Alligator mississippiensis: one gene and its partner. The main gene of each other region encodes a partner of the protein of the gene in region 2 in a complex. Links are inferred from orthologs where the notes say so. Each region holds a gene or a part of one and is shown on either strand. Other genes may lie near its edges.

Evidence for each region.
Region 1: the proteins of SYMPK (region 2) and SSU72 are in contact, whole or in part, in a crystal structure (PDB 4H3K), measured with the Homo sapiens proteins. The link is inferred for Alligator mississippiensis from reciprocal best matches to the Homo sapiens genes SYMPK and SSU72. Residues at the interface, in NP_004810.2 of Homo sapiens: Val123, Lys127, Leu131, Gln135, Asp175, Asn176, Asp177, Gly178, Thr181, His182, Lys185, Glu188, Pro204, Arg205, Arg206, Gln207, Ser250, Ile251, Thr254, Thr255, Asn262, Ala290, Ser292, Gln293, Ser295, Ser296, Lys299, Asn300, Leu303, His304; in NP_054907.1 of Homo sapiens: Glu113, Tyr116, Asp117, Val120, Asn124, Glu127, Gln128, Glu129, Thr130, Cys131, Gln132, Pro133, His135, Asp167, Glu169, Asn170, Asp173, Gln177, Glu180, Thr186, Phe187, Leu188, His189, Thr190, Val191, Phe193.

What each region holds. Positions count from the first base shown.
Region 1 is NC_081836.1:7,424,367-7,428,266, reverse strand, and holds the start of SSU72 (RNA polymerase II subunit A C-terminal domain phosphatase SSU72), read right to left. Parts: upstream 2,361-3,900; 5' UTR 2,250-2,360; coding exon 2,170-2,249; intron 1-2,169. Other genes in the region: actin-related protein T2, read right to left, coding at 3,584-3,900. UniProt on the Homo sapiens protein: Protein phosphatase that catalyzes the dephosphorylation of the C-terminal domain of RNA polymerase II. Plays a role in RNA processing and termination. Plays a role in pre-mRNA polyadenylation via its interaction with SYMPK.
Region 2 is NC_081838.1:442,637-446,536, forward strand, and holds the start of SYMPK (symplekin), read right to left. Parts: upstream 3,081-3,900; 5' UTR 3,066-3,080; coding exon 2,907-3,065; intron 2,705-2,906; coding exon 2,552-2,704; intron 2,067-2,551; coding exon 2,001-2,066; intron 1,746-2,000; coding exon 1,692-1,745; intron 1,414-1,691; coding exon 1,340-1,413; intron 240-1,339; coding exon 113-239; intron 1-112. UniProt on the Homo sapiens protein: Scaffold protein that functions as a component of a multimolecular complex involved in histone mRNA 3'-end processing. Specific component of the tight junction (TJ) plaque, but might not be an exclusively junctional component. May have a house-keeping rule.

The DNA of each region.
Region 1 (3,900 bases), on a different chromosome or scaffold from region 2:
AAGGAAAAAATGGGCTTTAAACAAAATCTGTAAGTTATTTAAAAGACTAAGTCCTAAAATATGAATACTGAAACAAGGTAAGTTTAAAAAAAGGATTAAAGACACTATTTTGAATGTGTAGAAGAAATATCTCCAGTACTATAGCAAAGCCCCTTGGCAAAGATGGAGTTTATTATGTTTCCAAAACAAAGTAATTTTTAAATAAACTATGGGATGCAACAGTTTTAGACACACACCCCACCCTTCCACTCCCCCACACCTGCAAGCATTACATTTTAAAAAGCTGTTCAAAGTTACATTTTTAGAATGGATTTTAACACAATGCTGATTTTTTTAGAGGGCCACTGTCCTGTGGTTTTATAAAAGTCACCTTTCCACCTTAGCATGGTAATTTAAACTTCTGTAACAGCTCTGTTTACATTAAATATCTCCATGCATGGTTTGCTGCAATATTTTAACAGCACTGTACTTTAGAAAGATGAGTTACATATGGCGTAAGGCTAAATTGGCAAGATGGCTTGGATGACCTAATATGATTTCCCCCGAGTTGTTATTTTACAACCACAAACTGAAGTCTTGGAAAATAACTGTTATCCACTATGTAAGCCAGTAACAAGCAGAATGTCATAAGTTGAAAGTAAAAAAAAAAAAAAAAAAAAAGTGACTGATCTAATTTATCTGAGCTGAGAAGACAAGGAACTCCCCCCACCCCATTTTTTTTTTTTTTTTTAAAGAGATTTATTTGGACTGTAACCGCTTAATACCGATTTTAAGGAGTTAACTGTGTGCACTAGTTTTTTTTCCCATAAGCTTATTTTCAAAAATCTAAGAGCGGAAGGAATATTCTCCCTTTTCCTTCTTCTTTTAAAAGATTCATGTTTTAGCACATTTCTTTGTGCAACTGACTACACAGAAACTGCAAAGCACTGGTCAGCTGACAGTAACTTCATGTTTACTCTGCCATCCCAGTTGAAGAAAGCTGGTGCTGTCTACTTCCGTTTGTCTATGACGTGCCAATCGACCCTGCCTGCTACGCTGGAAGAGCTCAGAGAAGTAGGAGCAAGCCCACAGCCAGGTGTTAAAAGCCAGCCAGTTTAACAAAACAGGCTATTTGCTTTTAGTCAAGAGGACGTGGCCTTGATGCCCAAGCAGCAGCAGCAGAGGTGTTTCTCATGCTACTATTGTCTGAGTTCAGCCTGCACCAGCGTCGCCAGCTGCCCTGCACCAAGATGGCTGCCCGCACCCAGCGTACCCCCCCGGCTTCTCCTTTCCAACACCAAGATCCCCCTTCTCCCACGGTGAGCGCCGAGCCCAGACCTGCCCTGCCCCGGGGGACACTCAGCAACACACTTTCTGGCTGTTCACTTTTTCCCCCTTCTTTCCACCGGGTTCAGAGTGGAAAACACGTCCGGGCCTGAGCCGGCCGGGTGCAGAGGAGGCCCTGCCAGCTGCCCCCTGCAAAGGGGAGGGGGGGTAAAAAAAAAACCCCTTACAAACACCTGGGCAGACTCCAGGCCTCATCCCACCCACCCTAGGATTTGAAAGGAAGGGGGGAGGGGGGGGGGAAATCAGGCCATTTTAGAGGCTCCCTTAAGTGCCTGAGCAGGCTCCAGCACTCCCCCCACCTGCCCTATGGTTTGGGGGGGGGTCAAGGCCATCTTAGGGGGTCCCCTTAAGTGTCTGAGCAGGCTCCAGGGCTCATCCCACCCACCCTATAATTTTGGGGGGGTTAATGTTGTTTTAAGGCACCCCTTAAATGCCTGGGCAGGCTCCAGGGCTCATCCTGCCCACCCTACCATTTGGAGGAATTAACACCATCTTAGGGCCCCCCACCCTGCAATTTGGGGAGGGGGGCTACACCATTTTAGAGTCCCCTTAAGTGCCTGAGCAGGCTCCAGCACTCGCTCCACCCCCCAATGATTGGGGGGGGGGGTTAAATCCGTTTTAGGGACCCCCTTAAATGCCTGGGCAGACTCCAGGCCTCACCTCGCCCACCCTATAATTGGGGAGGGGGGGGGGTTAAAGCCATTTTAGAGCTCCCTCCCACCCTATGATTTGGGGGGGTCTAGGATATTTTAGGGGCCCGGGCAGGCTCCATGCCGAGGCCCAGGGAAGCCCGCGGGGTGCGGGGGGGGCAGGCCCGGCCAGGCCCGGGCGCGGCGGCGGTACCTGAGGATGTTGTGCGCCTCCATGCTGCGGTTCTGGTTGCTGGAGCAGACCACGGCGACACGGAGCGGCGAGGAGGGCATGGCGGCGCGGGGAGAGGCCCGGCTCCGTCCGCTCCGTCCCGCAGCGCTCGGGCCCGTCCGGCTCCGCCTGGTGCTCGCACAAAATGGCGGCCGCGGCCCCTCGGCGGGCGTCACCCGCCCCGCACCAGCGAGAGCGCGACGTAGAGCGGACGCCGGCGAGGACCGTCGAGAGCGGAGCGCAGGAGAGAGCGCCGCCCGGGGGTAAGTCCTCCAGCCATAGAGATTGGAGGAAGCGAAGAGAGTCCGCCTCGGCGCTGAGAGCGAGCGCCGCCCTAGTGGCGGAGGGTGGGGAGGTCCTGTGCTTCGCACGTGGCTCAGGGGAAGGGGCTAGAGCTGGGGACCGCAGGGTCGAATCCCAGGGGAGGCAACAGGGCGTTTGCTCCATTTCAGCCTGGCCTTTAAGGGCCTTGGGACCCTATCTGAGCTTCTGCAAACTGGAAGGGGGAGGGTGTCACATGCACCACTGGCCCTACATAGCTGCCTCAGCAGCAGATCTCAACCTCCTCTGTACCAGGACCCATTTGTGACCAGCACTGGCTAAGGCTTACACCTTAAATAAGAAAAAAAACCTGAACATTTTCATTCTGTGACAAAAATAGACATATATATATGGCTCTACAATTATTATTCATATCAAGTTCATCCATTTGTGCAGAAATAATAATAATTCATCTTAAAATGTCATTAAAACCCATTTTCATGGATTATTTTTATCGTATGGGGCCTCTTAAGATGGACATGTCATAACCCAGCATGGCTTCTGGCCCGCTGCCCCTTGTGTGTGGGGCAGGGGTGGGTGTGTGGATCGGGGGAGCCCCCAAGCAGCCCCTCCCAGGCAGGATCTCTGCCAGCCTGCAAGAGAAAAGCCGCGGTTCCCCACCTTTTTCTCTTTTAAAATGTTCATGACCCTTTCATATATTCTCGCGACCCACTTTTGGGTCGTGACCCACGGGTTGAGAAACGCTGCCCTATTGAAGTGGCATCCTTCGGGAGCAGAGGCCTGGTGCTGCATCTCGCGGGGGATTTACAGTGGCCCCCCTGAACCAGGAGCATCAGACCTCTCTGCGCAGGTGCAGGCGACTGCACAAAGCACAGGTCACCTGCGGGGAGTTAATTCCCTCCTTGGCCGCAGCCGTCATTGCAGTAGGTGACTTGATCTCCTGTATTGTAATGGATGACTCCCAAAGTCATCAGGCGCCTTTGCAAGACACACACGCAGGCTGCACGTATTGCCCATTTCTTCTCTTTTATTCCATCACCATCGCCCAGAGAAATTAGACTTTCTGCCCTCAGCACTTCAATACAATTCTCAATGGCCCTTCTTTTCTGGCCTCTTAAAAGCACTTTCTGTGGACCACAGGGGGTCCAAATTCCCCGTATTCCCCGGCAGTGACCCACATTGACACGAAGGAGGCCAGATAACTGATAATGGAGGCACCCATCCATGCAGAGCATCTCCTGTGAGGAGTTGCTACAATCCTAACAGGAACTCCTTTAGGGGCTTGCTGCTCTATCTCTTTAAAGACCCTCTCATCTAGTCCCTGGAGAAGGGACGAGCCCCCGGTCAGCACCACATTCCCATAGAGATGGCGGCAAATATCCTGATCACACTTCTTAATGCTGTTGGAAATCATGGTGTGAATCCCCGGTG
Region 2 (3,900 bases):
GAGAGGACCCCCCTGCCCAGGCAGATCCTGCCCCCCAGCACCCCCTGCTAGGAGACCCCCCCCCAGACAAATCCCACTCCCCCCAATCAGCAGCACCCTACAATGGCCATACCTGCAGTGCCACCTTGTAGAGCTGGGTCATGGTGAGGATGGCCTTCTTCACCACGTTCACGTTCTCATCCTTCAGCAGCATGTTCAGGTTGGCGATGAGCTTCAGCAGCAGCTCAATGTCACGCTTGCTGAGGGGTGGCAGGTTGGGGGGGTGGGGGGGGAGGCGTCAGTGCCTACAACTGCCCTCCTGCAGGTAGCAGGGTGAGCCTGGACCTCAGGAAAAACTTGGGCAGTGTCCGAGCAGGGAGGCAGGGGACAGGCGCCAGGACAGGAGGGACACTCAGTCACTGCAGGGCTTTGTGGGGGGGGCAGCTGCTGGTGTGGGGTGATCCAGGCAGAGTGATGCCCATGCTCTGCTCTGGGGATGTCCCAGGCTTCTGGGCTCTGCTGATTGTTGCAAGGGGCTGGGAGGGCACTTAACCCCCTTCCTGTTGTTGCTCTAGGTGTCACGGGGTTTTTAAGCCCCCCCACCCGGAGGTGCTGGGTGCAGGGCTGGGGACTGGGCTGTGCCAATGTTCCTGCCGGCACCATCCCCACAGGGTCCTGGCTGGAGAGTCTTGCCCCTGCACTCAGGCTCAGCCCCACGCTGCACTGGGGCAGGAAGAGATTACCCTCCTGCTCAGACCAGTTCGCACTGGGGGTTTTTGCCTTCCCCTGAAGCAGGGGCACAGCCTCGACCTCGGCTCTGTAGCATCCATGACCCCCTGGAGGCAGCAGGATGTTGGCAGCCACAGCCCCTCCTGCTTTCCTGAGGTCAGGGGTGGGGGTGAGGTCCATGCTGACGGCTGTGTTGCTCCGAGGTCCGATGCTGGGTTTGTCTGGGCTGGCTTGGACGGGGCTGATCCTGCCTCAGACCAGGGCTTGGACTAAATGTGACCTCAGGGGGGTTCCATCCACCCCCAGTGCTCTAGGATTAACCAGCCTCACAGCAGCTTCCCCCTAGACCCCTGGGACTTGGATGGAAACTGAGGCATGTGGTGCTTGAAGGCTGAGGCTGAGCCAGGAATCCAGGCTCCCAAGCCACCTGCTCTCTCCCCAGACATGTCCCTAGCCCCCTGCCCTCACTGCCCATGCAGAGCTGGGGTCTTAGCAGCACCTCCCCTCCTCCACCTCCACTGCCGTCACTAACGAGCATGCCAACCTCCAAGCCCAGACTGCTAGCTTCCTGGCTGAATTCCCAGGGGAATCGCAGCCTGGGTCCCCCAGTCCAGTGCCACTCGTCCCTTACCAAGCCTCCTCGATGAAGCCCACGACGAACTTGCGCACCTCCACGGACTTGTCAGCCTGGAAGGCGATGATCTCCTGCGCGGGGGGGAGGGTGCAGGGGGGGGCTGTTGGTGGCACGCGGGGGGGTGCCCAGAGCTGCCCAGCAGGGCCGCACCATGTGGGGGAGAGGGGGCAAAGGGCCGAGCTGCCAGCTCTGTGCTGGGCAGACACCCCACAACCCCGGGACAGTTGCAGGGCAGACTGGCGATAGCTGGACCCCCGTGGTACCCCCCGCAAACACACAGCGGTGATGGGGCCATGGGGCATGGACACGCCAGGCTCCTCAGGCCTGCCCAGGGTGCCTGGCGACTCACGTCCAGGAAGTTGTCCAGCAATGTGGGGTCCTTGTTGATGATGAGCTCCTGGACCTGTAGGGAGGGGGATGGGGACAGGGACAGTGGGGGGCGTTATACAGCCAGCTGGGGCAGGCACCAGTGCCACCCACTCCCCCACTGCACACGGGTCTGCCATGATGGGCTGGGGCCTTCCAGTCCGGGAGAAGGCCTAGGACTAGAGCCAAGGAAGGGGGGGGCATCTTCAGGAGAAGGAATACGAGACCCCCCTCACCCCCAGGTTGAGACCCCGGGCTCTTGTCCCCCAGGCCGGGGCGGCTCTCCACACACCTGCTTGAGGATGCTGATCTTGGAGTCATTGCCAATGAGGGCGGCCTGGTTCAGCAGATCCACGACCTGCCAGGGACAGGGGCAGGTGAGTCCCGGGCACCCAGAAGCCCTCCTGCCACCTCAAAGCTGGGGGCTTGCACACCCACCCCGCCCTCGCCTGGGGGAATGACCCTGCGCCTCCCCCGTCGTGGGTGCTGGCAGCAGCAGAACAGCAAGGGCTCCACGCAGCACCGTGCACGGGCACGTAGACACCGGGCCCTGACACCACGTGTCCTGCACCCCTGTGGCCGGGCAGGAAGGGGGGCAGACTGCACGCGTGCCCAGGTCCCCCAGGTCGGGGGGCCGACTGTCGCCCACACGGGCTGCCGCAGTCCCACGCTGCCGGGGATCGTATCGGAGCCCACGGGAGCGGGCCCGGCGCACCCGGAGCTGCCCGTGCGTAGGCCGGGAGTCCGGCTGGCTGGCACAGGCCCCCGGCAGAGCAGGCCGCGGGGCCCAGCCGCAGGCGTCAGGGAGGCACCGAGCCGGAGCCGGAGCCCGCGGCCGCGCACCCGCTCCGAGGTGGTGGTGCTGTCGATGCCGCTGCCCTCCTCCTGCGTGAAGAACTGCGAGGCCACGCTCATGCGGGCCGTGGCACCGTCCCCAGAGCTGCTGGTGCTGGCCATGGCGCGGGGCTGGCCCTGCGAGCCTCTCAGCTGAAGCTGCTAATGAACCAAACCAATTAGTGCCTGGCCCTTGCCCCGAGACCCCGCGCCCGCGGTGGAGCCCAGGCCTGACCCCCCAAGGCCCCCCTCCCCCAACCCGGGGCTGCCCCTGCCCCCACTATGCCCCCAACCCCAGCCCAGCCCCCCACTCCACACTCTCGCCCCCCAGGCCGCAGCCCCCTGCCCCTGCCCCTGCCCCCACCTCCACCTCACGCGCCCTCGCGCCCAGCGCCGCCTCCCGCCGCCATCTTCCGGCCCGGCCCACACACACTGCGCAGGCGCGCGCCGCGCTGCCTCCTGGGAAATGTAGTCTTCCCGCTCGCTCCTTTGCCCCGCCGCGCTGCATGCTGGGATCCGTCATCCGCGGAACTGCGGGGTCACGGAGGTGCCCTTTGACCCCCGTCTTCCCCTGCCGCGATTGGCTTGGACACCCTCCCCCCACTTTGATGCGTTCTCACCCTAGCCTTGACCCCTGACCCCAGTGCCTCTCCTGCCGCCAGCCCCTCCGGTGGCACACGTAGACTCCTGCACATCCCCCGCCCCGTGACACACGAGCCCCTCCCGTGGCACACGCACAATCACGCACACGTGTGCACCCCCCCACGCAGGGTGGGATTTCATGGCTGGCACACGCGTGCACTCGGGTGTAGACACGTCTGCTGGACGCACTCCCGCGCACGCCCCCTCCCTGGCAGCCCTCGCCCCAGCGCCGCGTTGTCTCCAGGCCTTGGCCCTCGGCTGCTCCCGCCGGCGGCAAACACAGCTGTCATGTCCCGGCTCCGGGCAAAGTCCACGCCTGGCGTCTGCTGGGGCACAGTGGGGGAAAGGTGCCTCCCGCCCCCCGGGGCCTGGGGCCGCCCCAGGGCTGGGGGCGCGGCTCCCCAACCCACCGCGAGCGCCGCCCACCACAGGGGAAGGGGGCCCGGGCACCCGGGTCCCCCCGCGGCCGCGAGAGGGGTGATGTCGAGAGCCCGGACGCCCGGGTTCTGTGAGCGGCACCGCCGCAGGGTCCTGTGGGACCGAGAGGCCTCTCGCCCCGTGCCTCAGTTTCCCCTTTCTGTGGCCTGTGTGGGCGGGGTCGGTGTAAGCTTGGCCCAGGTGGGGGCACCCTCACCTTGTGCTGGGAGAGGGGGAGCAGGCCCCAGACTGCCCTGCCCCAGGGCGGAGCAAGCAGGCAGGAGCTGGGGGGGGTGGGG